Linked DNA regions of Diceros bicornis minor. The main gene of each other region encodes a partner of the protein of the gene in region 3 in a complex. Links are inferred from orthologs where the notes say so. Each region holds a gene or a part of one and is shown on either strand. Other genes may lie near its edges. The genes, in order: DPF1, DPF3 and ACTL6B.

Region 1 (7,509 bases), on a different chromosome or scaffold from region 3:
GGCTTTCCCACACTCAACCAGCGACAGACTCAAAGATTCAACCATACATACCAGGCAGGATGCCTAGACCCTGGGGGAGACACAGCCAGACCCCCAGATCCACTCGGACACACTCAGGAGGGGACATGGCCAGACCCTCATATACACCTAGATACATCGGGAGACCCCAGCTAGACCCTCACTTACACCTAGACACATATGGAGAGATAGACATTCAAACAGGATACACGAGATACACGTGGACAGACACAGGGGAGATACAGACGGGTCATCTGAGACAGGCAGACACACAAAGGAAGAGATACACCCAGACACTCAGATACACCCAGATCCTCAGATACACCCAGACACGTGGAGGAGACACCTCCAGACCCTTGGATACACCCAGAGATACTCAGAGACCATCAGACCATCAGATATACCCAGACCCACGTGGGGAAGACACAGCCAGACACTACCATGCACCTGGGCACACGTCGGGGAGGTACAGACACACCTAGAGAGAATCACTCAGATGGATACACACTGACATACACAGGGAGGTGCAGACTGTCCCTGTGAGGCAGTCGGACACAGCCAGGTGGACACTCCAATACACCTGGACCCACACAGACTCTTGGATACACCTGGACGGGAAAGAGAAACAGCCAGTGACTGATCGCACTGGACACATTCAGAAAGCGATAAGGCCAGACACTCTGGCAGACCAGTACACATGGGTGGAAATACACCTAAGACACCAGACACTAAGGGAAGAGATTCTCCCAGACATTCCAGAGCACCTGGGCACTCAAAGGAAGAGACAGTGGACACCCTGATACACCCAGACACACTCAGGAACAGCTGGATCCTCTGACAGACCAGACACACAAGAGGAAATAAACCTTCTAATACACTTGGAAACACCTGGAAAGAGACACAGACACTTAGATGCCCTCCACTACAAATGGAAGACTTACCATCAGACACTCTGACGCACCCAGACACACTCAGGCCCCCACAGGAAGAAATCCAGCCAGACACTCTGATCCATCCCAGCTCCCAAGGGAAGAGACACAAAGACTCGAGACACCTAGACACACACAACAGGTACCACTCTGCCCTCGAATACACCTGGGCCCAGTCACTTAGGGAACAGTGGAGAATCTCTGGACTACACCCAGACACACAGCCAGCCCCTCAGACACTCGCCAGAAGGGAAATGAAGGCGGATGCGCAGACACACACTGGCACCGCCACACACTTCTCAGCGGGGGCTGGGGGCACTGATGGCGGCCACCCGGGCAGAGGACGGACGGAGCTCCACCCACCAATCTTGTACTCGCAGGGCCGGAGTCTGGGGTCCTCCAGAATGTTGAGTCTCCGTTTCTTCCTCCAGCAGCGGGCGGGGTACGTATAGATCTGTCCCGGGGCCAAACCTGGAGGGAGAAGGGCGGTGAGAACCCGCCGCGAGGCCGCCGCCCCGCCCCACCCCGCCCTCCCTGCGGGTACCCGGCCCGCGGTGGGTCTTCTCCATCCAGATGTAGCAGTTGTTCTGGGCCACGCCGGTCTGCGAGTCGAGGAAGGGCAGGCGCAGGCTGCGCTCGGCGCACAGGCGCGCGTTGTAGCTGCGGCAGTGCTCGATGGCCTCGCGGTAGAAGTCCTCGCCTAGGCTGCGAGGGCGGGGAGCGGGCGGGCGGCTGTCAGCAAGGGCAGGCGCGCCGGGCGCCCAGCACGCCTCCCCCGGCCCGCGCGTCGGGAATGGGTGGGCCCCCTCCTCCAACCTCCCCTCTCCCCCTCCTGTCGCTCCTGGACCTCGGAGCCCCCAACCTGGGATTCGGGCAGGCCTCAAGCCAAGGAGCAGATCACACAATATAGAAAGAGACAAAAATACACCGGGACTCATCCACCCCTGCATATGTCCAAACACACAACACAGACAAATCACACATAGTCACACCGGATTCACACACAAAGAGAGACATATCCCAAGACCCACAAAGAAGCAGACCAATCTCACATATGTGCACACACAAATGTCTACTGAAAAACACAAATGTCACGTAGTGTAGAAGACAGATCACACATATATCCATACACAAACTCACATCGCATATCCAAAGACACACAACATAAACAAATCACCCACACAAAGACACAACATGCAAACAGACAGATCACACACACACACACACACTCATGCATCCAAAGACACACACAGATACACAAATGTTAAAAGAGGAGAAATGTTAAATTACCTACATATGTACTTACATATTCAAAGACACAACAAAAATCACACACACACTATCCAGACACACTGTACAAAGAAATCACACAGATTCATACAGGATACACACACACATTCACAAAGATACACAATACAGAAACCAACATCTAAAATACCACATATTCAAACACACAAAGATACACACATATACAGCACAGAAACAGACCAATCCACCCATGTTCACACAAAAATTTACACACAAATACATGCATACCCACACATCCAAAGCCACAGAACGCAAATGATGCACAGTTTGAAAGGGCATGTACACACACTCCAAGACCCAAATATCCAAAAATACCTAGTGTCCAATAAAAGAAAGTCAGCGCATATCCACACACATATCCACAAAAACCAGAACACAAACAAGTGACACACACTCCATGTCCCAAGACAAAGGTGGTGTGGGCTTCACTCAAGTTTAGCAAGGCCCCCGCACCCCCGGGCCATTTCACCGCCTCCGCAACCCCGGGGGTCGCGAGTCGGGACATGACCCCCTTCCCCGAAAAGGACCCGAAGAGGACTCGGAGTTCCCCACACCCTCGCTCCTCCAGGAGCAGCGCGTCGGACCCCGTTCCAGCCAGAGCCCCACAGTCGCACACGCTCGCACCCCCGCACAGCCCGGCCCGCGGTGACAGCCCCCCAGACACCCCGGCGGCCCCACCCCCAGCCGCCACACACACGCCCGCCCGCGCCGACCCGCCCGCGCGCCCTCCCCCGCCTCCCGCCGCCCGCGGCACCTCAGGGGGCCAGGGATGACCGTGGCCATCTTGCTCCCCGGGTCCTGCCCCCAGCAGGTCCCCGCCGGGTCGGTCCTCCCCGCGCTCGGGCGGGCGCCGAGGCCGCCCATCCATTCATTCCCGGGGGGCGGGCACAGCAGGGCCGCAGCCAATCGCGGCGGCGGGGCGGGGCGGCCCGGGTCATGCCGGGAGTTGTAGTCCGGGGCCGGGAGTCGGCGGGACCAGCGCGGAGGGGGCGCCGAGGAGGGCCCGAGCACGCACAGTCCCTCAACACGCTCACGCGTACAGACATCTAGTCTCACCGGCGTACGCTCACACGTGCACACCTGGACGCGCCCACACCCACACGGCAATGTACACACATTCACACGTATACTCACAGCCGCCCACGTAGACTCACGCACACCCCCACTCCCACGCCTCTACCCAGACGCGCATACATTGACACTCACACGCACACCTCATTGCCAGGAGGCAGAGACGCCTGCCTTCCAGGTGCCCACACAAGGTCCCAACATGCCCGCGCTGGCGCACGCGGTGGCTCACTGACAACGCCCCCTCCCCAGTCCCTCCTGGCTCCAGAGACCCCTGTCCCTTCCCACTCGGGGTGGACACTCTCACAGTGACCCCGCCCTGCTCGAGCCCCTCCGCAGGCCTGACAACCCTGGGGCTAGCCAGGAGTTGCCGCCACACCTCCTGGGTTCAAATCCGGGCTCTGCCACTTGGTGGCCATGCGACCTTGGGCAAATAACTTCACCTTTCTGGGCTTTAGGTTCCTCGTCTGTAAAATTATTAAATGAACAGATATGGGTAAAGTGTTTTAAAAGGTACCCGGCAGGGAGTAGGTGTTCAATAAATTCATCCATTCCACAAAGAGGATCTTATATGTACTAAGATGTCAAAGGGCGAGAGCTAACCGTTATTAGAAAGAAGAATGCCTGGCACATAATAGATGGTCAATAATATTTGTTGAGTGAATAAATATACGGAGGACCTGCCATGTGCCAGGCACAGTTCTAAGTGCTTTAACAGCAATTAACTCATTTAATTCTCATTATGACCCTCCTGGGTGGTTCTATCAGGACCCCATTTTCCAGATAAGGAATCTGAGACACAAAGGTGCGGTCCCTTGCTCTCAGACTCTGGTGGCTGTTTGAAGGTAGGACTAAGGGAAGGATTCTGTACCCAAGTCAGCCTTACCTCCTGCTATCTCCCACTGTCACCCGCACTGACTCTACCCTAAGGGACCCCCAGAGAGTGACCGAGTCACAACACCCACCCAGTCCCACGCACAGACCTGGAACCCACCCCGTCCAAAGTTTGTGTTCAAGTTTGAGCCCCTGCGTAGATGACAACGCCCACAACGGTCCTTGTCCACCAGAGGGCTCTCCAGGCGACAGAAGAGGCGCACCAGCCTTCGCTTCTTTTGTCACTTGATGCCCCCATCTACCCCCGGGTGAGAGAGACCCCCTCAAGGTCTTCCACACCCATGGTCACTTCTAAACACACGCACACACCCCCCTCTAGTCTTAGACCTCTTCCACAAACGCTCCCCCTTCTCCCCCAGGTGAGGGCTTGACCTTCCCCTCCCCTATCCCCAGTGGAAGGGCATGGGTCTCTGCTTCACGTCTGGTCTACAGTAGGTGGCAAGGGGAGTGAGTCAGGGACGCTGGCATCCCCACGCTCACTCTGGCCTCCAGGCGCCTATAGTGGCCACCCCACATCTCATCCACAGCAAGCCCTGCACCTGGACCCGTCAGCTCAGCCCAGAGAGCGAGCACCCTTGCCACCTTCCTCTCGTACCTCCCACCACCCTCACAGGTCCCCCAACACACTCTCACACTTGCTCCCCACACCTGCAGCCTCAGACCTGCCAGCTCACTCCTGCCCTGCCCCAACCCTGCACCCTGAGTGTAGAACACTCCATGGCCTCCCGGGAGGCCCTTGTCCACCAGCACGACTTGACCCGCAGACCCAGGCTGACGCTTGGAGAGGGGCCTTCCTCCCTTTCCGTACCCCTAGTCACCTTCACAGACCCCTCTCCCACACTGAACTCCCCTGCGCTAAGAACCCTCCTGTCCCCACCCCCCAGGACCCGAGTGAAACTGGACCACAAGTGAAATCAGTATTGATGCTATTAATAATCATCACTCCATTCCATCAGGATCAGGCTCTGTAGTAAGTGCTTTACAAAGATCATAACAGCCCCATGAGGTCATAAGAGCTGTTATGAGTCCCCAGTCCACAGATGGTAACACTGAGGCTCAGAGGGGGGCAATGAGTGGCTCAAGATGGGGCTTGAATCCCTGCAGTCAGAACTCCTGAGGGCTGCCCCCTGCAGCCTCCCACTCCCAAGGAGATTTGACTCTCATTCTTTCAGGAGTAGGAGCCCACCCTCACCCCTGCAGACCCTTGGGAGGGGGAGAGCAAAGAAGGGCGCTGGCATTCCCAGCCCAACGCTTGCTCTGGCCTCCAGGGCCCTGCAGTGGGCAGCCCCATAGCTCCTCCAAGGTCTGGGCCTGGGTCAGAGGGAGGAGGCCTGGATGCCTATAGATCCACCAACCTGCACAGGAACCCCATCCCAGCCAGTGTGAGGGCGTCCCTCACAGGGGAGACATCTGTCTGTGCGTGAGACTTAGAGTGAGAGGGGAGCAGAAGGGTGTCACGGTCACACACAGACCCCAGCCCCACGCGCACCCTCCAGGCCCTCTTCGCTCTCCGCAAAGCCGCAGGTGTAGGCGCGTGCTTATAAGCCCCCGCCCCGCTCCTCTCCCAACTTCCCCCGCCAGAAACCAGAAGCAACCGGGGCCTTTGGTTCAGCCACCAGGCACAGCCCTTCTGGGGGGAGGGGGGCGCTCCCGGCCCCCTCTCCGCTCCCCACCTCCCCGCACGCGTTGCTCAAGGTCAAGGCTGCGAGCGCACGGGGTTGGGGGAAGCGTGGGGAGGTCGTCCCGGCCCCTTTGTGCGGCGCCGCCGGCGTTCGCCCTCCGCCTCCTCCCCCAGGCCCGGGAGGAGGGGGAGGGGAGTCCGCGCTCGCCAGCCGGGGAGGGAGGGCGGGAGCGGCCGCGCGCCTGTCACTCTGAGCCCGCTGTCACCGCCTGGGGAAGGGGGGTGGGGAGCGCTGGGACCCGGGAGTCCGGGATCCCGAAGAGGGAGCGAGCGAGAGATGGAAAGAGAGTGAAGAAGAGAGGTGGAGATAGCGAGCGATGGCTAGGAGAGGGAAGGGATGGGAGCCAGCTAGCCTTGAACCCAGGCGTCCAGGTTGCCAGCCACTGGGCGCAGGAGGAAGCGAACGCACGGAGGACGGACGCGGACAGAGAGAAAGGGAGGGAATCCCCGGAGATTGAGGGAGCTCCGAGCACCCTCTCCCGAGGCATCTGGTCCCCACGGGGATGGGAGATGCTCTCGTTAGATGTGTATGGGCGGGGAGAGGGAGGGATCCCACGGTCTAAGCTGACCGGGGCTTCCAGGCTTCTGCGTCTTCAAGACCCGGGGAGGAAAAAGGGGAGACAGCAGGGATCGAACCGGGGACCCCCGACGTCTCAGCTCCCACCCTGCGGCCGCGCGAGCCGAGGTCCTCGGAGAAAGAGGGGGAAAAGAGAGAAAGGTGCTTTGATGAGGGGAAAGAGGGTGGCGGAGACCCCGGAGACTGAGGTCTGGACTTAGGCGTTCGTACTCCCAGCCCCATGCTGGGGCAGGCCCGGCGCCCCCAGAGACACGGAGGAGGAGAGACGGAGGAGGAGGAGAGGGAAGCCCCTACCCCCACTCTGGGTGGGGAAACGGCCTCCGCCACCCCCAGCCCGCGCCACATTCCTTCACTGACAGCGACAAAGAAGAGGCGCCCCCGCGACCCTGCAGGGCTCCCGCCCCAAACCCCATGGGGCGACAGGGGGTGTCGGGCCCCCCAGGGACGGGGGGGCGCGCTGGAGGCCCCCATTCAACTACCATCCGCGCGCTGCGTCCCCCTCCCCAGCGAGGGAGGGGGAAGGGCTCCGGGGGCGGGGGGTTCGGGATGGAGGGACGTGGACGGCGGGGACACTCACGACTTGAGCGGGTTCTGAATGGCGGTGGCCATGACCCGCTCGGCTGGGCCACCTCCGGCCCGGGGCGCCGCTGCCGCCGCGCGCGGGCCCAGCCCGGCCTGCGCCGCCCGCTCTGCCGCCCAGCGCGCTACGATTTCATTCATTCTTGGGGCTGCGGCGCGAGCGGAGCGGGGCGGGCCGGGGGCGGGGCTCGACCAATCCCCGCACCTCCCGGCGCACGACGGGACGTGGAGTCTAGGGGTGCGCGGCGGCGCCCGAGGGCGCCCCTGTCCGGACTACACGTCCCAGGGGGCGTCGGGAGGACCGCGCGCCCATTGGCTGCTGGGGATACAGGGCGGGGCTGGGTTCTCCCCAGAGCATCCTTCCCTCCTCCCTGGGGGTGCTCCATTCCCAGCTCCGGCTCTCCATCCTCCAGGGACAGCGGGCGCGGGAGCAGGTGATCCCTGGCCTCTGGGTC
Region 2 (8,013 bases), on a different chromosome or scaffold from region 3:
GTGTAGATTGTTGCAGAAGGCTACATGGGGAAGGCAGAAGCAGTGCTCTGGGGCAGACTGATCTGATTATTTCTGTCTTCACCTGACTGATGCCATCAGATCTAGTTAGTAGTAATTTTATTTTCTTGTCTTCACATCCCTCCTCAAAGCCTTCCCGTCCCCACTCCAGACCTCTGATGATGCGTCCCTCCAGTAATGGTCTGGCCATTTATTCAATAACCTTCACATGCTGCCTCAGGTGACACATGTCCCAGACCTGACTATGAGTAAACTCATGGGGAGCAGAGTCCTTGGTTCACGTCTCCTTGGGCCAGCCCTGCATCTCCATCTGAGCCTTAGCAACAGCAACACCAGTAGGCAGCCCTTACGGTGGGCCAGGAACTGTGGTAAGTGCTTTAGAAATAGTAATGCATTCCATCCTTACACCAGCCCTACGACAGAGATGCTATTACTAGCCCTCATTATCCAGATGAGGACACTGCAGCTCAGACAGTGTAAGTCATTGGCCCCAGGTCACCTAGGGAGTGGTTGAGTCAGGATCGGAACCAGGCGTTCTTGTCTCCGAGTCTGGGCTCTTAACTACTCCACTCCACACTGTGTCGACAGTAAATGCATGCTGAGCCACTGGTACATTTTATATCGTATCTACCCACTTATTTCTGCCATCCTTTTTCAAAATAATTTTTGTTAAAGTAATAATAATAACAGCCAGCAGCTAACGGTCAGTGAGCGTGTAGAGGTGGCTAAGAGCTTTCCACTTAGCTCTCCCATTCACCCTGGAGATGCTATTATCAGCTCCATGCTCCATTGCCAAGCCACCTTTCTGCCCCACAAACACCAGCCTCCTCCTGGCTCAGGGCCTTTGCACCTGCAGCTCCCTCTACAGGCACGTTCTTCTCCTCATCTTTACAGTGGCTGAGTCTGCTCCTCCAGCTCCACTCGCTCCCACCTCACTCCCACTTCCCCAAGCTCCTTATCTACAGCACTCATTCTTTACCCATCACTCTGGTTTATGGTCTTTTTAGCACTTTGCCAACTATCAAAAATTATTTTGTTTATATTTACTTACTGCCTGTCTTTTCCCCACATAAGCTCCCTGGGAGAAAGACTGGTCTAGTTGGTTCATCCCTGTATTCCCAGTGCCTAAAACTGGGTGCCTGGCATATAGGAGGCACTCAATAAATATCAGGTGGATAAACGCTGTCCCCACAGGGCCTTACACAGGGGGCTGCACAGTTGGACACTTCCTTTCATGCGAACCCCTCTATCTGTTCTAGCTTCGTTTCTTGAGCCTGCACACTCTCCCAGGCACCTTGCTGAGGACTTCAGTATGTCACTGTACCCCACTATGAGGTTGAGAATAGTACCTTTATCATTCCCAATTTACAAATGAGGAAACTGAGGCCTAGAGAGTTTACACAGCTCACCCAAGACCACACAGAAGTAGAGTGAGCTTCAGTCCCCATCTGTCTGCCTCCCTGAGTCCATGATATTAGCCATTCTGCCACAGAGCCTCTGGCTGGGTCCCCTCGGTCACTCAACTCTCTTCACCCACATATCCCTAAATGTCTCAGCCTTACCTCTCCCCTCTCCCTTGCTCCTCTGTGCAGTGGCCCCTCCAGGTTCTCCCTCCACCATTCTTCTCCCTGCCCAGTGCCCTTAGAAGTCTGTCCTGTGTGGTCAGCCACTTACCCTCTTCTCTCTGCTTTGTGGCCTGGGCCAACAGCAGAGGCTAGCAGTAGATCAGAGAGAGGGAAGAGAGAGAGACGGGATATTAATTCCCCCAGCCTCCTCCTTGCTGGGTCACTGGAGTGTGGCTGCGTCCTTCCACTGAAGGTGCCAGCTCCTGTCAGGCGGTCCTCTCCATACAGTACCCTCTGCAATCTCGGTGACCTTCCCCTCTCCCTGGGACACCCCTCCCCCCGCCCCAGGGTGCTGCGTTATCCCCTTGTAGGTTCCCCTGCCCACACTTTTATAAATAGCCAGCTTATTAAACACTCCTCAGTTTACTGTGTTTGAATCTGCTGCTTTCTGCTGGAACCCTGACTCTTCAACACATAAATGCACCTGGCCTCTCGGCATCCTCCAGCCCCCCACCACTGTCACTGCGCCCTGCTCGCTGCAGCTGCCCCTGCCAGGCCCTTCTTCACTGCCTGGGGTGCCATCTCCCTCCAAGACCTATAAATAAATGTTGACTTGCCAGCTTGGAGGTTTGCCCTGGCAGCCTCTGCTCTTTGCCTGGGCCCCACCAGCCCCTTTGCTAACCACTGAGGCAATACTAGGGGGCGAGGGGTGCTCAGGGGAGCCCTACAAGGGCCACAACAAGCTGTCTGCCCGTGCCTAGAATGAAAGCAGGGGTTATCGGGTCCAATGCAGGGATCCGCTTTGCTGGGATCAGGCTTGTCCTGTGCAGGGTGTTGGGGCGACCCTGCGGATGGTGTACTGGTAGCTCAACAAGCCAACATCACAGCTTCAGTAATCAGAGGAGCATTTGTCAAGCTCCTGCTATGCAGCAGGTACCCTGCTCAGCTGCCATTTGGATACATCACTCTCATATTCACAGATGAGTTAACTGAAGCTCAAAGAGGACAAGGAATTTAACCAAATCACAAAGCTACTAAGTGGCAGAGCTGGGATTACAGGGCAGCCCAAATCCACAGACTTCAATTTCCTACTAGTTACCCTGTCTCACAGCCAATCCCTTCATTTGGCGGGAGGGCCACAGACTCGAACCCAGTCCAGGCAGGCAGCTCAGAGACGCTGGCCACCCATGACCAGGAGGGGGTCAGGTGGAGTGGGCTACAGGTTAGGGAAAAGAGTGTGGAGGGCTCCATGCTGCCTAGAGTCACTTTGTCCAAGGGCATGGTATGGCTTGCCCAGAACAGGTGCTGACCAGCCCGGGGGACTGGAACAACCCCCGCTGCTCCTTCCTGCAGAGCCACCAGGGAGCCATGTGCACACACCAGCATTTCAACCAAACACGCGCGCAGGCACCTACCCTTCACGCCCATGCCCGGGACAGTCACAAGGAAACTCTGAAGGGGAGGGTGGAGGGACCAGGCAGCAACAGAAAGGGAGGAAGGCTTCCTACTGTGGGACCCGGAGCAGCCTGTGCTTCCTCAGCTCCTCCCTGCAGCCAAAATTTATATTCCCCATTAACAGAATCCAAGGACCGGAGGGGTTTTTTTCTTTTTGGAAGGCAATGGCCAAAAAACCCACATTCTAGTGTTGGGAGTGATTCTTGGAGGCAAACATCCTCACTCCTGAGAGGACACACACACACCAGCTCTGCCACCACACAACCCAAAATAGCTCACACTTCGGTCCTGGCTCTCCTGGGCTCCCGGAGAACCCAGCTCAGCACAGTCTCCTGACCTCGGTCCACATGACTGCTGGCTGGCTCCATTCCCCAGGGGAACAAAGAGCTCCCAGGACACGGCAGCAGTGACACCTGCTCCTACAGACCATTCCCCCCAACCAAGCTCGGGTGTCACCGTGGCCTTGTCTGATGTGTCCTGACAGGACATGGTCCAATTAGCAGAGGCCATTTCCAGTGACCCAGCATGAGATGGGGCCCAAACCTCCAGAGCTGTCCTGAAACTCCTCTCCCCACCCGATCCCTCCAAATCTTAAATCGTTGAGGTGACATCTCTAGGTGAACAGCTCCCACAGCATTTTATAGACCATTTGGAAAACATCCAGAACAGAGAATGCTCTTTAAAAAAAAAAAAAAAAAAACTCCTGAAACACAAAACTGAGTTTCATCTTAAAATCTGTGCACTACTGTAATTTGAATACTCTCACTCCAGTCAAAAACACTCTCTACCCCTCCCTTTAAACACCAAAATTTAATCTCCCCTAAAGATAGGGTGATGGCAAACATGATTACACCCAATTAATATATGGAGAAACTGAGAACAAAAGAAGGAAAATCAATAGAATTGCCTTGCTCTGACCACTGCTGCAAATGAAGTAATAACTTGAGGGAGATTTGGCGAGGCGGGAAACCAACAGTGTCAGACGGCAGCGGTGAGGCAATTTAACAAAGCAGCAGCATCCCACATGAACTGGCTGGGCAAAGAAGATCACTAAGGCGGACAAGACATTCCTGGGGCTGGAGGGAGGAGGGGAGACAGCTGGGGTCACTTGCCTTCTATTCATTTTCTCGCGTGAGGCTCATCAGTGGTAAATTCTCATCTCTCTCACAAAAGCAAGACATAAAAGAAAGCAAAAGGGAGGAAACATTCGCACAAGCTGCCAGTCTATTAGGGACATGGGTAATTTCTAGGCAGGCAAAGGCCATATGGGCTCCCCCTGCAGCTTCAACACTAAGTTTATCTGCATCATCACTCTCTCCCCTCATCTCCCTTCCAGATACAGGGAGAAAGATAGGCAATTAACAAGCCCGCACCCAACATCCACCCTGGATCACCAGCTGGGCCATTTGGAGCATCCAAAGACGGAGTAAGGGATGCCTCAGGGGAAAAGGAGACCTTGAGAAATCCCCATCCCCATCTCCCGCTCAGTGCCTGGAGCTCTGTTGGATAGAATATCCCAGGAAATTCAACAAGAATTTAGTTGGACCAGCCCACGAGTCCAGATGCGAGATGCTAAGTAAGATAGCCAGCTCCATGTTATCTTTGCACCTGCAGGAGTAAACGCCTTGCTGTCCAGTGGGTTTCCTGGCAGCCCCTCAGTCTCCCCTGCTGCCTCTGGGTGGGGGTTCCTACAGCTGCTCCTCGCGTATGTGAGTGACAGTCATTCATTCACTTCACCAGTAAATGTTGAAGGAGTGCCTGCTCCATGCATGTCACACCATGTGAGAGCCAGCAGAGCATTTCGATGAAGGGCTGGGCACTGCCGTTAGGATGCCAGGTTTGGGGCCAGCCTGGTGGAGTAGTGATTAAGTTCGCGTGTTCCGCTTCGGCAGTGCAAGGTTCGTGGCTTCAGATCCCGGGCATGGACCTACACACTGTTCATCAAGCCATGCTGTGGCAGCATCCCACATACAAAATAGAGGAAGATTGGCACAGATGTTAGCTCAGGGACAATCTTTTTCAAGCAAAAAGAGGAAGATTGGCAACAGATGTTGAGGTGATGTTGTGAGGTGATTAAAAAACTATACTAGCTGTTTAGAAATCGGGGTTCTAGACTCAACTCTCCCAGTAACTGAAAGACCTTGCTAAATCTCTTAATAACCATTTCTACATCTCTAAAATAGACATTAAAAGAAAAGCACCCTTCCCTGTCAACTTCCTTAAGCTGTTGTAGCAAATGAGACAGGCTGTGAAGACTCTCTCTTGAGTACTTTCTGCCATCACTAATTCTGCTTTTTCTATAAGCAGAGTTTTACTTATTGACAATTTCAAGTGTTTTTATATCCTTTCATGAGTTCTATTTACCTTTGTTCTATCTTCCTTTTAAGATTCTGCTCTCTGGTAGCCATATTTTCGATAACAAAAAAACAAGGTAGGAAACAGTTAAAATTATCCTTGATGGGGAGGAGAAAACTATTGCTCAATCCAAAGATCGCTGGTATTTCTGGCTCTGAGGATGACACGTGACTAAGGCAGACATGACACCTGCCTGGTTTACTCCCTGGGACCAAAGTCCCAATGGAGAACACTGGGTCCCCACTAGGCTGCCCCAGGGGCTGCCGGCTGCTGAGGATGCAGCCTGGTCTCCCTCCCCTTTCAGTGGCTTCTGCCCAAGGTGGGAAGTCAGAGGCTCCAAATGCCAAGTAGGGCTCTTCCCTGGCCTCAATTCCCGCATTGGGCCGTGTCATGGGCTCAGCATAGCAGAGTTCTGAGCCCATGGCTGGCACGGCTGAAAGGAACCACTTCATCTCAGCAACTTCTCCTCCAACAGCAGAACCTGGTTGAAAGTTCACAGAGTGCTCCAAGCACTTCGGGACCCTCTCGGGTTATTGCCTTCTTCCAAAACTCCAAAACCCTTGAAAGTCACAGTTGTGGAGTAAACATCAGGTTTCCTTATACCCAAGCATCTCGCACGTGTGTAGGAGGCAGTGCAAGACAGTCTATGCCCACTAAGCACTGTGCTCTCCTCATCCATTGCATCATGGGGGCTGGACAGAGGTCGGGGGTGGCCACTACTCAGACTAGGGGTGGGATTGAAAGGGTGGGCAGCTCTGGTCCCCCTGAGTGTCCTGGGTCTTGCTTCATAGCGCAATTGTAAGATCCCAACCTTCCATCAATCCATCTTCCCTGTGATGGGCATGGCTGTCTGCCCACAAAGCTGCCATTCCACCTCCTTCCACTAACAACACCTCCATTTTCCTCCAGGGAACCACCTCTCCCCCCTCCACCAGTCTGGCAAAATCAACCCCACTCCCCCCCTCAACTTTTGAGACAGGCTGTGACCCAGCCCTCCAACGAGGAAACCACCTTCCCAGAACTTAGTGATTGCTTCAAGGGTGAACATGTGGTCTAAGGCAGGAAAATTAGGGTCAATCTTAGACTTTCTGTGGGAAAGCAGCAGGGAGGCCTGTCTGCAAAGGAAAGCCACATTGAGAGAGAAAGGGGGCGGACTGGCCCCGTGGCTTGGTGGTTAAGTGCGCACGCTCCGCTGCTGGCAGCCCAGGTTCGGATCCCAGGCGCGCACCGTCGTACTGCTTCTCTGGCCATGCTGAGGTCACGTCCCATGTACAGCAACTAGAAGGATGTGCAACTACGACATACAACTATCTACTGGGGCTTTGGGGGAAAAAAGAAAGAAAGAAAGAAAGAAAGAGAGAGAGAGAGAAAGGGAGCCCCAATGGCCTTGTTGAGTCCCTAGACCCAGTCCCAAGTGAAGCAGATGCACTCCTGAACTTTTAGTTACCTGAGCCCGTACATTCCTCTTCATGCTTGAGCAGTTTGAGTTGAGTTTCTTGCCATTGGCAACCTTAAAAAGCCCTGACGCACATTCCAGAGTTTGGTTTTACCAATAGACTTTACACAAGGCTGAAGAAAAGGCCAGGGGCCCCACTCAAACACCTCTAGTCTACTAGAACCCAAATGCTTTTGAGATAAAGATGGTTCACTGTGGCCACTAGGTGCCACTCTTCAAACTTGAGAGGCAGTCAGAGTCAGGGAATGTAGACGGCAGCTCAGTGAACTGCATTCTCTGGCTCACCACAGTCCCCACCACTCCCTATTGTCTTTACCAAGCCCATTTTCCTCATTTACTTTACCTTCTTGGTCCCTTTAAGTACATGAGTTTACCATTCCTGATGGATATAGATCAATGGATCAACTGCTCAACAAATGGATGAGTGGATGGGCAGACAGGCAAGTGGTTATATATTTGCAAATTGAGCCTATATACAAACAGGCGTGACAGAAATAAAGAATAAAACTCTCAGGCCACTGCAGTCAGGGGACCATTTGATAATGTTGGAATGGAAATAAGCACAGACTTACTTCCACGTGGTTTTGGTCTTTGGAATACCGGAGGATGACTCTCTGGAGTATCGCAGTGACTGGAGGATAAGCCTCACCCCACAGTTGTTCTCCTTCCAAGCCAGGGTGGTTAAGACAATCCCACCAGTACTGCAGCACAAGGAGAAACCACTCCTGACATCCACGGGCAGCCACAGCAGATGAAAAACTGGCCCTAGGCAGCAGCCTCTCCTCAATCCCCAGCGTCTCCTCGGATCTGGGCAGCAGCCACAGAAATGGAAAGAGCTACAGACGATGCAGGTGCTGCATTTGCTGTCTGGACTTGGAGTCATTGCAGGCAGATGTCCACAAATGTATCCATGACACTCTGGCCAGGGAACGGGGATATGAAGAGTCCAAGGTGATCATGGAAGGACACTAAGTGGCTCAAAGAACTGAGAAAAAACAGAAAGATAGCAGCAATAGAGACCAGGCTCAGAGCCAAAACAAGGCCTGTCCCCCTGCCACCTGCCTGAAGGCATCACCATGACCTCAGGGAGGTAACTGGTGACTCACACAGAACCTCATTGTGAACTGTTCATTGTGGCTGTGGATGCTCACGGTGCAGCCAATC
Region 3 (7,857 bases):
ACATGAAATAAGAATAGGATGTTCTAAAAAGTAACATTCACGGAACAAAAAAAAGAGCTCTTGGAAAATAAAAACACAAGAGCAGAAATGAAAAACTTAATAGAAGAGTTGAAAAATAAAGTTGAGGGAATACCTTGAAAATTAGAGGAAAGATAAAGAGACAGAAAACATAAAGAGAAAAGATAATAAAATTAGGGGACAGTTCAGGAGGTGCAAAATCCAAATAAGAGGGTTTGGCAAAAAAGAGAACAGAGAAAATCAAGATAAATAAATCATCAAATAAGCAATTAAATTTTTTTCACTGACTTAAAGACTAGGTTTCCAGATTGAAGTGACATACTAAGTGTCTAGAGCAATGGATAAAAATAAACCAATATCACATTGTGAAATTATACAAGACTGAGGACACAGTGAAAATTCTATAAACTTTCAGGAAGAGAAAAAATTACATCAAAGGATCAGGAATTATATGGTTTCAGCCTTCTTGATGGCAACAATAGATGCTGGAAGACAGTGGAGAAGCACCTTCAAGATTCCGAAGAAAAATGATTTCCAACCTGGAGTGTTATACTCAGCTAAGGTATCAATCTAAGGTTAGACATGCAAGGTCTCAAAAATCTTACTTCCCAAGACCTTTCTAAGGCAGTTACTGAAGGATGTACTCCATGAAAACAAGGTAGTAACTCAAGAAAGGGAGTCATGAGATACAGGAAACAGGACTTCTAACACAGGAGAGAGGCAAAGGAATTCCCTAAAATGACAGTGCAGGGAGATGTCAGATGATAACTATGTCCTCTGCACAGAAGGCAACTAGTCCAAAACGGAGCAGATCAATGGGTTCCTGGAGAGATTTCCTCAAGATGATGAAATTGATAAAATTCCTAAAGGAATTAATGTCTTGAGAAAAGATATAGATAACCGATGAATGAATAATTTAGAGTCACATTTTTAAGTAGATAGAAAACTATGCAAAATAAAAACCAAGACAATTTTCAGTTCTAGGAAAAACAAAAAGCTGCATAAGAAAGGAAAAGTAGCCATTGTTTATTGCCCGCCTCAGCCCTGATTAGCATACATAATCAAAAGAGTGTAAATAACAAATATTGGTCTTAAAAAAACCCTAAAATACAACTGTACTTAAAGATGGGGAATGAGAAATATGTGTGTTGGACTGGGGGAGGAAAGAGAGCTAAATGTTCACCTTCTAAGGGGGAAATCCACAGATAATGCCTAAAACTAAAAAATCAACAAGCAGCTATTGGAGTGTGATATTCAGAGATATGAAAGATATGACCAAAAAAATTAGCTAAAAGAGAGAAAAGCAGTTGCCTCTGGAAAAGCGGAAATGGAAGGAGGAGGGTAAGAATGGTAGCTTTTTTCTTAACATACTTTATAAAGCAAATTGATTTTTTATGTGCACATATAATATTGACAAAAATTTTAAGTTAAAAGGTCAAAAAGGGACTTTGGGAGGAAAAAAGGGCAGTGGATAAGGCCGACTGGAGGATGGGGGAGTAGATATAGTGGGAGGAGAGAGGGAAACATGGAGACTAAAACAGCGAGGAAGGAAAGTAGTTGAAGATGATGGAGTTGGAAGGAAAGTCTGAAAAGCCAAGTGGAGTGATTGATAGCAGTGGCTTGAGGGGCAAGGTGAAGGGTGGAAAGGAGATGCTGGGCTCAGGGCTGGACTAGAGGCTGGATGAGATGATGAGACACTTACCGGGGCCTCAGACATGAGCACTGGGTGCAGGTTTGGCTCAGATTTGACATGTTTGCTGTAGGTGTGGTCCAGGATGGCACGGAAGCACTCCCAGTCCTCGACTGGGGCCAGGAGACCAGTGTGGAGAGATGAAGATGGGCAGGCAGGGGTTCCGGGACAGGAAAGAAAGGGAGGAGGGAGGCCAAGTTCAGGGGAGGGGAAGGGAGACCCAGCTCCAACAGAAATCCCTCTTTCCCAGGAATCTGGTGGGGCTTCTGGGTTGGGAACCAGGTGGCTGTGGGAAGCAGTGAGGGGATCCCCGGGACTTGGGCAGCTGCAAGGAAGACTCTTTGGGTGGATGTGGGGTGCTCCAGGTCTATGTCAGGAGATGGTGAGTAAAGACCCCTTACTCATGCCATTCTTGAGAGGCGACATGACCTCCGCTCCATCCCGAGGCACGTGCAGGGCGTTGGTGTCGATGTGAAAGATCTTCCCTTTCTTCTCTTTCTCCCCCTCCAGTTCCAGCCCACCCCCCTCCTCCGTGGCCAGCAGCCCCACCGTGGTGGGGAAGTCAGCCTGGAAGCGGGGATGGTAAGGGAAAGGGATCAACCTCTTGCCCCTGTCCAGGCCCACGGCAAGGCCCTCAGCCCGCCCCTGGGTTTACTCCCACATTCCCGCTCAGCAGAGCTTTGCGCTGTGCATCGAGAGGCCTGGGCCACGGGAAAGCCTGGAGGGGAGTCCAGAGCCCCTAGGATTTGGGGAGGGGGCTTGAAGGCTCACCTTGGGGCAGTCCTCCCCAGCGTACCCAGCGCGGACTGAGAAGGAGCCAATGTCAAAGACCAGCGCCCCCACCTCATCTGTGCGGGGAGACAGGCGTGTAAGGGGGACCTCTCCCCAAATCTCTCCCCCGTGGATAGTCCGGAGAGGAGGTCAGGGCAGAGCTACAGTCTCGCCACCTTCAACGCCGGCCGGGGCAGGTGGGAGCTCGGCCTGGAGTCCGGGTCCTGGGAGTGGGGGTCAAACCTCCAGAGTCCCTTCTTGCCCAGTGGCCTTGTTCAGGCCACTCTCCTTGCTGGGAAGGAAGGGGCCGGGGACCAGGAGGAGGTGGGTTGAATGGCGGAAAGGGTGGGTCCAGTGCGCGAGAGCGTCCCGTGAGGGTTGAAGGTAGGAGTGGCGCAGGACCCAAACCCCGGGCTGGACCCGCTCGAGCGCCGAGGTGACAGGCCCCGGGTGCCCAGAGCTTGGGTCGCGCGGGTTCGGGGCGCGGGGCTGCGGGCAAGGCTGCGCCAGGCTGGGGAGCCTGAAGCCCGAGGCTCGCTCACCTCCGCCATAGACGCCCCCGCTCATAGTGCCCTTTCAGCGCTGCTCGCGGCCCGTGGGCGGCGGCGGGATCAGCACCGAGGAGGCCGGACAGCTCCCAGGATCGCGGGCGGGGCGGGGCACCAGGCGGCCAATCGGGAGGCCGGATCCACTGCCCCCAACGGCGCCGCCGATTGGCTGCGAGGCGAGACAATAACCCGGCCGGGGGCCGCTGCTTTAAAGGTGCAGACACCTCAACATTAGGCAGCCAGGAAGGAACTAGGTGGAGGATGGCAAGGACATCCAGACCGGCCCCTAGGGATAGGCAGGGTAGAGAGAAGGCATATGAAAGAAATGGAAACCTTGTCCATCCGGAAACCAGGACTCCGCAGGGTGACTGATGAGGACCCCTGCTCCTCGCTTTTTTAAATGGGGTCTAGGACAGGGCGCTATAGTCCCAGAGAGTCATCCATTCTCAGGCTCCTGAGTATGGTTTGCCATACCCAGGCCTGAAGGATATCACCTGGAGAGGGAGGGAAGGGAAGAAAGAAAGAGAGAGGTGCGGGAGAAGGTGTGTCTCCATCTTCTCCCTGTTTCATTCCACCCTTGTCTTTCTGAGGGGCCCTCTTTTCCTCGCTGGTCCCCTGGTGCCTGGGCCTTATACATACACACATGTACACACATTCACACATGGGCGCTCAGGTAACCCAGCTTTAGCTTCCTTTCTCTTTCCCTCTCTCTTCATCTGTTCTCCTCAGGAGGCATTTATCAAGCAAGTACGTTTTCCACTAGTTGGCTCCTCAGTTCTCCTAGGCTCCTGGCATGACCACACCTCCACAGCAGTTTTGACAGTGAAGGTGAAGGAGCAGCTCTGACAGCCTGGCTTAGCTGAGAGACTCTAATATGTGAGCATGTGTGTAGGTGTGTGCCTGTATGTATGGTTTGTGTGTTGGTATATGTGTGCCTGTGCATATGTATGTATGTATGTGTATATATGTGTGCATGTGAATACATGTGTGTTGAGGGCTCTCCTACCTACTTGTTTAGGGGTAGAGGGAGCATTAAGACCAGAGATGGCAGGCCAGCCCCGTGGCATAGAGGTTAAGTGCGCACACTCCACTGTTGGCAACCCAGGTTCGGATCCCGGGCGTGCACCGACACACCGCTTGTCCAGCCATGCTGAGGCTGCGTCCCACATAAAGTGGAGGAAGATGGGCACAGATGTTAGTTCAGGGCCAGTCTTCCTCGGCAAAAAGAGGTGGATTGGCATGGATGTTAGCTCAGGGCTGATCTTCCTCACAAAAAAAAAAAAAAGACCAGAGATGGCAGAAGAAGAGGGTACTGTATGATGGCTGCATGCCCCTGAAGGTTCTCTGCTCACCAGATGCCCACTCTTGAAGAGACTCCACCTGTCCCCAGCCAAAGGACAGATGGTTTGAGCTGGCTCATCAGTTACCCACTGGCAACAGTGGCATTTCACATGCCCAGGGTTGGTTCCAAGTCCAGCCTGGCTCCCCAGACTGGAGGAGTCCAGGCTTCAGGGGGAGGGGTGAGCTGTAGGGGACAGAGCTGACTAAGGAGCCGGGAAATTGCAATATTCCTGAGTGACCCTAGGTCAGTCATTGGCCTCCCTATAAATTGAGGCCTGCATGAATTGGATGAGCCCTTTAACCTCCCAGTGCCTGCATTTCTTCATCTTTCCAAATGCGGAGGTGAGGATTAAGGGAACACTGGAGGAGAGGAAAGTGATTCTATTCATGGCCTGCAACTCTCCTTTTGTTGACAATGACGTTGCTTCCCTTCCCCTGTAAGTTCATCTTGTCAATTCCCACTACCTCTACCCCCTCCCCCACCCTACTCAGGATCTCAGATTCAGAAACTGCCTCCGTTGGGAGAAACCTTACTGATCATGGATCCAAACTCTGGGTTTTACAGGGGTTTCCCCAGATAGAAGCCAGGCCCTGTCTTGGGTCACACAGCCCACTGGGGCAGAGCCGGGACTCGAACTCACATCTCTTCTCAGCCAGTTGAGAGATGACCTTGTTCATAACACCTCTGTGTTCCTCTCCAAGCTTCACTGTCCCCATCTGTAAGATGGCCGGTGATGAGGACTCTATCTGATGCCAGAATGAAGTCCCTGGCTAACAGCTGGGCACCCAGGACCATCCAGTAAACACTGAGTCCTAAGAATGTCCCTGGGGAGTTTTTGAGGCTATCATATTATTATTCATAAATTAGAAATCTGTAGCCTACTTGGTAATGAGAAGTGGATTTTCCTCTCATGTAGGCTGACTATAGAACCTCCCAGTCAACTGTGGCCCGTTTTTATTTGTCATGGGATCTGACATGATAGTCTATTGTATTATGGAAGTGCCTAAGGTGAAGGTTATTAATATACTTTGTTCGTCCATTCATTGATTCAACAAACATCTTTTATGCGTGCAGTGTGCCAGGCATTGCGAGAGGCATAGGAATACTGAGGTGCATAAGAGATATCCTTGCTCTCGAGGAATTTTGGTGCAGTGGGGTGCTCAGACGTGCACAAAAGTGGGGTGAAATGGAGGCCCAGAGGAGGGAGGGGCTACCTGTCTCCGAGAGTCCAGGGAGGCTTCTAGCAGTGAAGTTCAAACTGAATTGTGAAGGATGAATAAGGGCTCACTGGTGAACAAGGTGGGGAAGGTCTTCCACACAGAGAACAGCATGTGCAAAGACCTAGAGACGTGAACATTTCTGGCATATGTCGAAATAGTTAGGAGCTCAGTCTAGAAGGACAGTTGGCTATGAGCTGGTGACAGAGACCAATATCAGGGGGAGATGAGACTGGAAAAGTCATCAAAGACTAACTTGTTCATGCGTGAACTCTATTTTTATTTGGCAAACACAAAGCATCTACTCTGCCAGGCACTGTTATAAATGCTTTACAAATATTAAGTAATTTAGTCCTCATAATGACTCGATTATTATCCCCATTTTGCAGGGGAAACAGAGGCATAGAGAGGTTCAGTAATTTGCCCAAGGTCACTCAGCTGGTAAGTGATAGAGCTGAGATTTGAACTGTGGCATGTGAAAAGTACTGATCTGGGGAAAATGTTGCCATGCTTCTATTCATTTCATAGATGTTCTCTAGGTCCCTGATAGGCACTGGGAATAGAACGGCTCATGTAACTTCGCATGGAGTGTAATGTCTATCCTGGAAGATGGACGATTAAACAATTAACTCAATAAAATCATCTGGAGGTTCTCACATTCTAGGCCCACATTCAGTTGGCTGAGCACCTGGTAATGACGTCAAAGGTGGTAAGTCAGGACCCTCAGACCCCGCACCTTGGAAATGATTTGGCATCTTGTGAGGGTCTGTTCATTGCTTGGTGAGCTCTTACCTCTCCAGAGCCTCTGCCAGACACAGAGGTGTCTTGGCTTCATAGGGAGCCCCTAGTGCAGGTGGCAAGTGCCCAGAAATGAACAGTCCAGTAAGGGCTGCAATCGGAAGGGAGCCAGCATTGCAATGGGGCAGCAACAACAGTGTGGCCAGGGAGGCAATATTTAAACTAAGCCTGAGAAAATGACCTGAATTTTCCTGGCTGACAAGGAAGTAGAGTTGGCGTGGGGATGGGAGGTATTCTGAGTAGAGGAGACAAGACCCAGCCCGTGTGCCATGCAAAGAAGTTTGGCCCTTCTCTTGGAATCAATAGGGAAATACTGCATGGCTTTTAACAGCTAAGGTATATGATCCAATTTGCATTTTAGAAAGATATCTCTGACAGCTATATGGTAGGTTGATTAGGGAGGGACTATTGTAAAGGCCAGGAAATAGGCAAGAACTAAGGTAACAGTAGTCGGCAGACAGTTGAAGGGATGGATTTAAGCAAAATTCCAGAGGGAGCACTGACAAGATGTATCCACCAATGACATAGACTGCTAGCCTCACATCAATAGCCATCTTCCATCTTTATTTATTAAAAATGCTTTAGCTGGGTATATGGCTACAGACTACATTTCCCAGCCTTCCTTGCATCTGGCCAAATTCTAAGTAGAAGTTAGTGGTGTCCTTCAATAGGAAAGAACGTGTGCTTCCTCCCACCCCCCTCCCCTTCCCAATAGATGGCATTCAGATACAATAGTGGGAGCTTCCTGGGCAACTTTGGACACAGAGATGGAAGCTACATGTTGAGGATGGCAGAGATGCCCCCACAGTACTGGAGGATCTATTTTGGGGTTGTCGCTTAAGCCACTGAATTTTTGGGACTCTTTGTTATAGCAGTTTTGACTACACCCTAACTAGTTGACTATCCTTTGGATATGGGGAATGAGGGAGTGAGAAGCTCCTGATTGGATGGTGGATGCTGTTAACTGGGCCAAGAGATTCAGAGAAGGGGTAGGGTTGGGCAGGGTAGGGTGAGGTCGAAGAGGATTAATTTAGTTTTGAATATGTTGAGTGTAAGACGTCTGTGAACAGTGGTGTGTAGTAAATATTTTAACAACCAGCTCTTTGAGGAGATGGAGCCCTGATCTGAAGTGTTTGCTGATTTCCATGGTGTAAATACTCCTACCATGTCAATTACAAGTTACTACTATCAACATGACTTCATTGAACAAGGAGTTGGGAAGAGAGGTATACAATGGGCTCTTGTGAGCTAGTCTGAGCTGGCACCAGCTGACTCCAGTACACCACTGTCCATGAGCATCCAGATGGAGATATTCAGTCTGCAGTTGGACAATCACCAAGTCTGCACATGGGGAGAGACATCTGGGCTAGAGATAGAGATTTGAGAGTTATGGCAATTAAGGGGTAAAGTCAGAGTAATGGATGATGTCACCAGTGAACAACATGGAGAGTGAGAAGAGGAGGCTGAAGTTGG

The links.
Region 1: ACTL6B (region 3) and DPF1 share a complex: the UniProt entries of both Homo sapiens proteins name them as parts of the neuron-specific chromatin remodeling complex. The link is inferred for Diceros bicornis minor from reciprocal best matches to the Homo sapiens genes ACTL6B and DPF1.
Region 2: ACTL6B (region 3) and DPF3 share a complex: the UniProt entries of both Homo sapiens proteins name them as parts of the BAF complex. The link is inferred for Diceros bicornis minor from reciprocal best matches to the Homo sapiens genes ACTL6B and DPF3.

The regions. Positions count from the first base shown.
Region 1 is NC_080773.1:12,444,107-12,451,615, forward strand, and holds the start of DPF1 (zinc finger protein neuro-d4), read right to left. Parts: upstream 3,068-7,509; 5' UTR 3,039-3,067; coding exon 3,010-3,038; intron 1,653-3,009; coding exon 1,492-1,652; intron 1,419-1,491; coding exon 1,311-1,418; intron 1-1,310. UniProt on the Homo sapiens protein: May have an important role in developing neurons by participating in regulation of cell survival, possibly as a neurospecific transcription factor. Belongs to the neuron-specific chromatin remodeling complex (nBAF complex).
Region 2 is NC_080763.1:21,002,528-21,010,540, forward strand, and holds the start of DPF3 (zinc finger protein DPF3), read right to left. Parts: upstream 3,012-8,013; coding exon 2,999-3,011; intron 1-2,998. UniProt on the Homo sapiens protein: Belongs to the neuron-specific chromatin remodeling complex (nBAF complex).
Region 3 is NC_080765.1:5,161,470-5,169,326, reverse strand, and holds the start of ACTL6B (actin-like protein 6B), read right to left. Parts: upstream 3,047-7,857; coding exon 3,022-3,046; intron 2,557-3,021; coding exon 2,480-2,556; intron 2,276-2,479; coding exon 2,110-2,275; intron 1,822-2,109; coding exon 1,721-1,821; intron 1-1,720. UniProt on the Homo sapiens protein: Involved in transcriptional activation and repression of select genes by chromatin remodeling (alteration of DNA-nucleosome topology).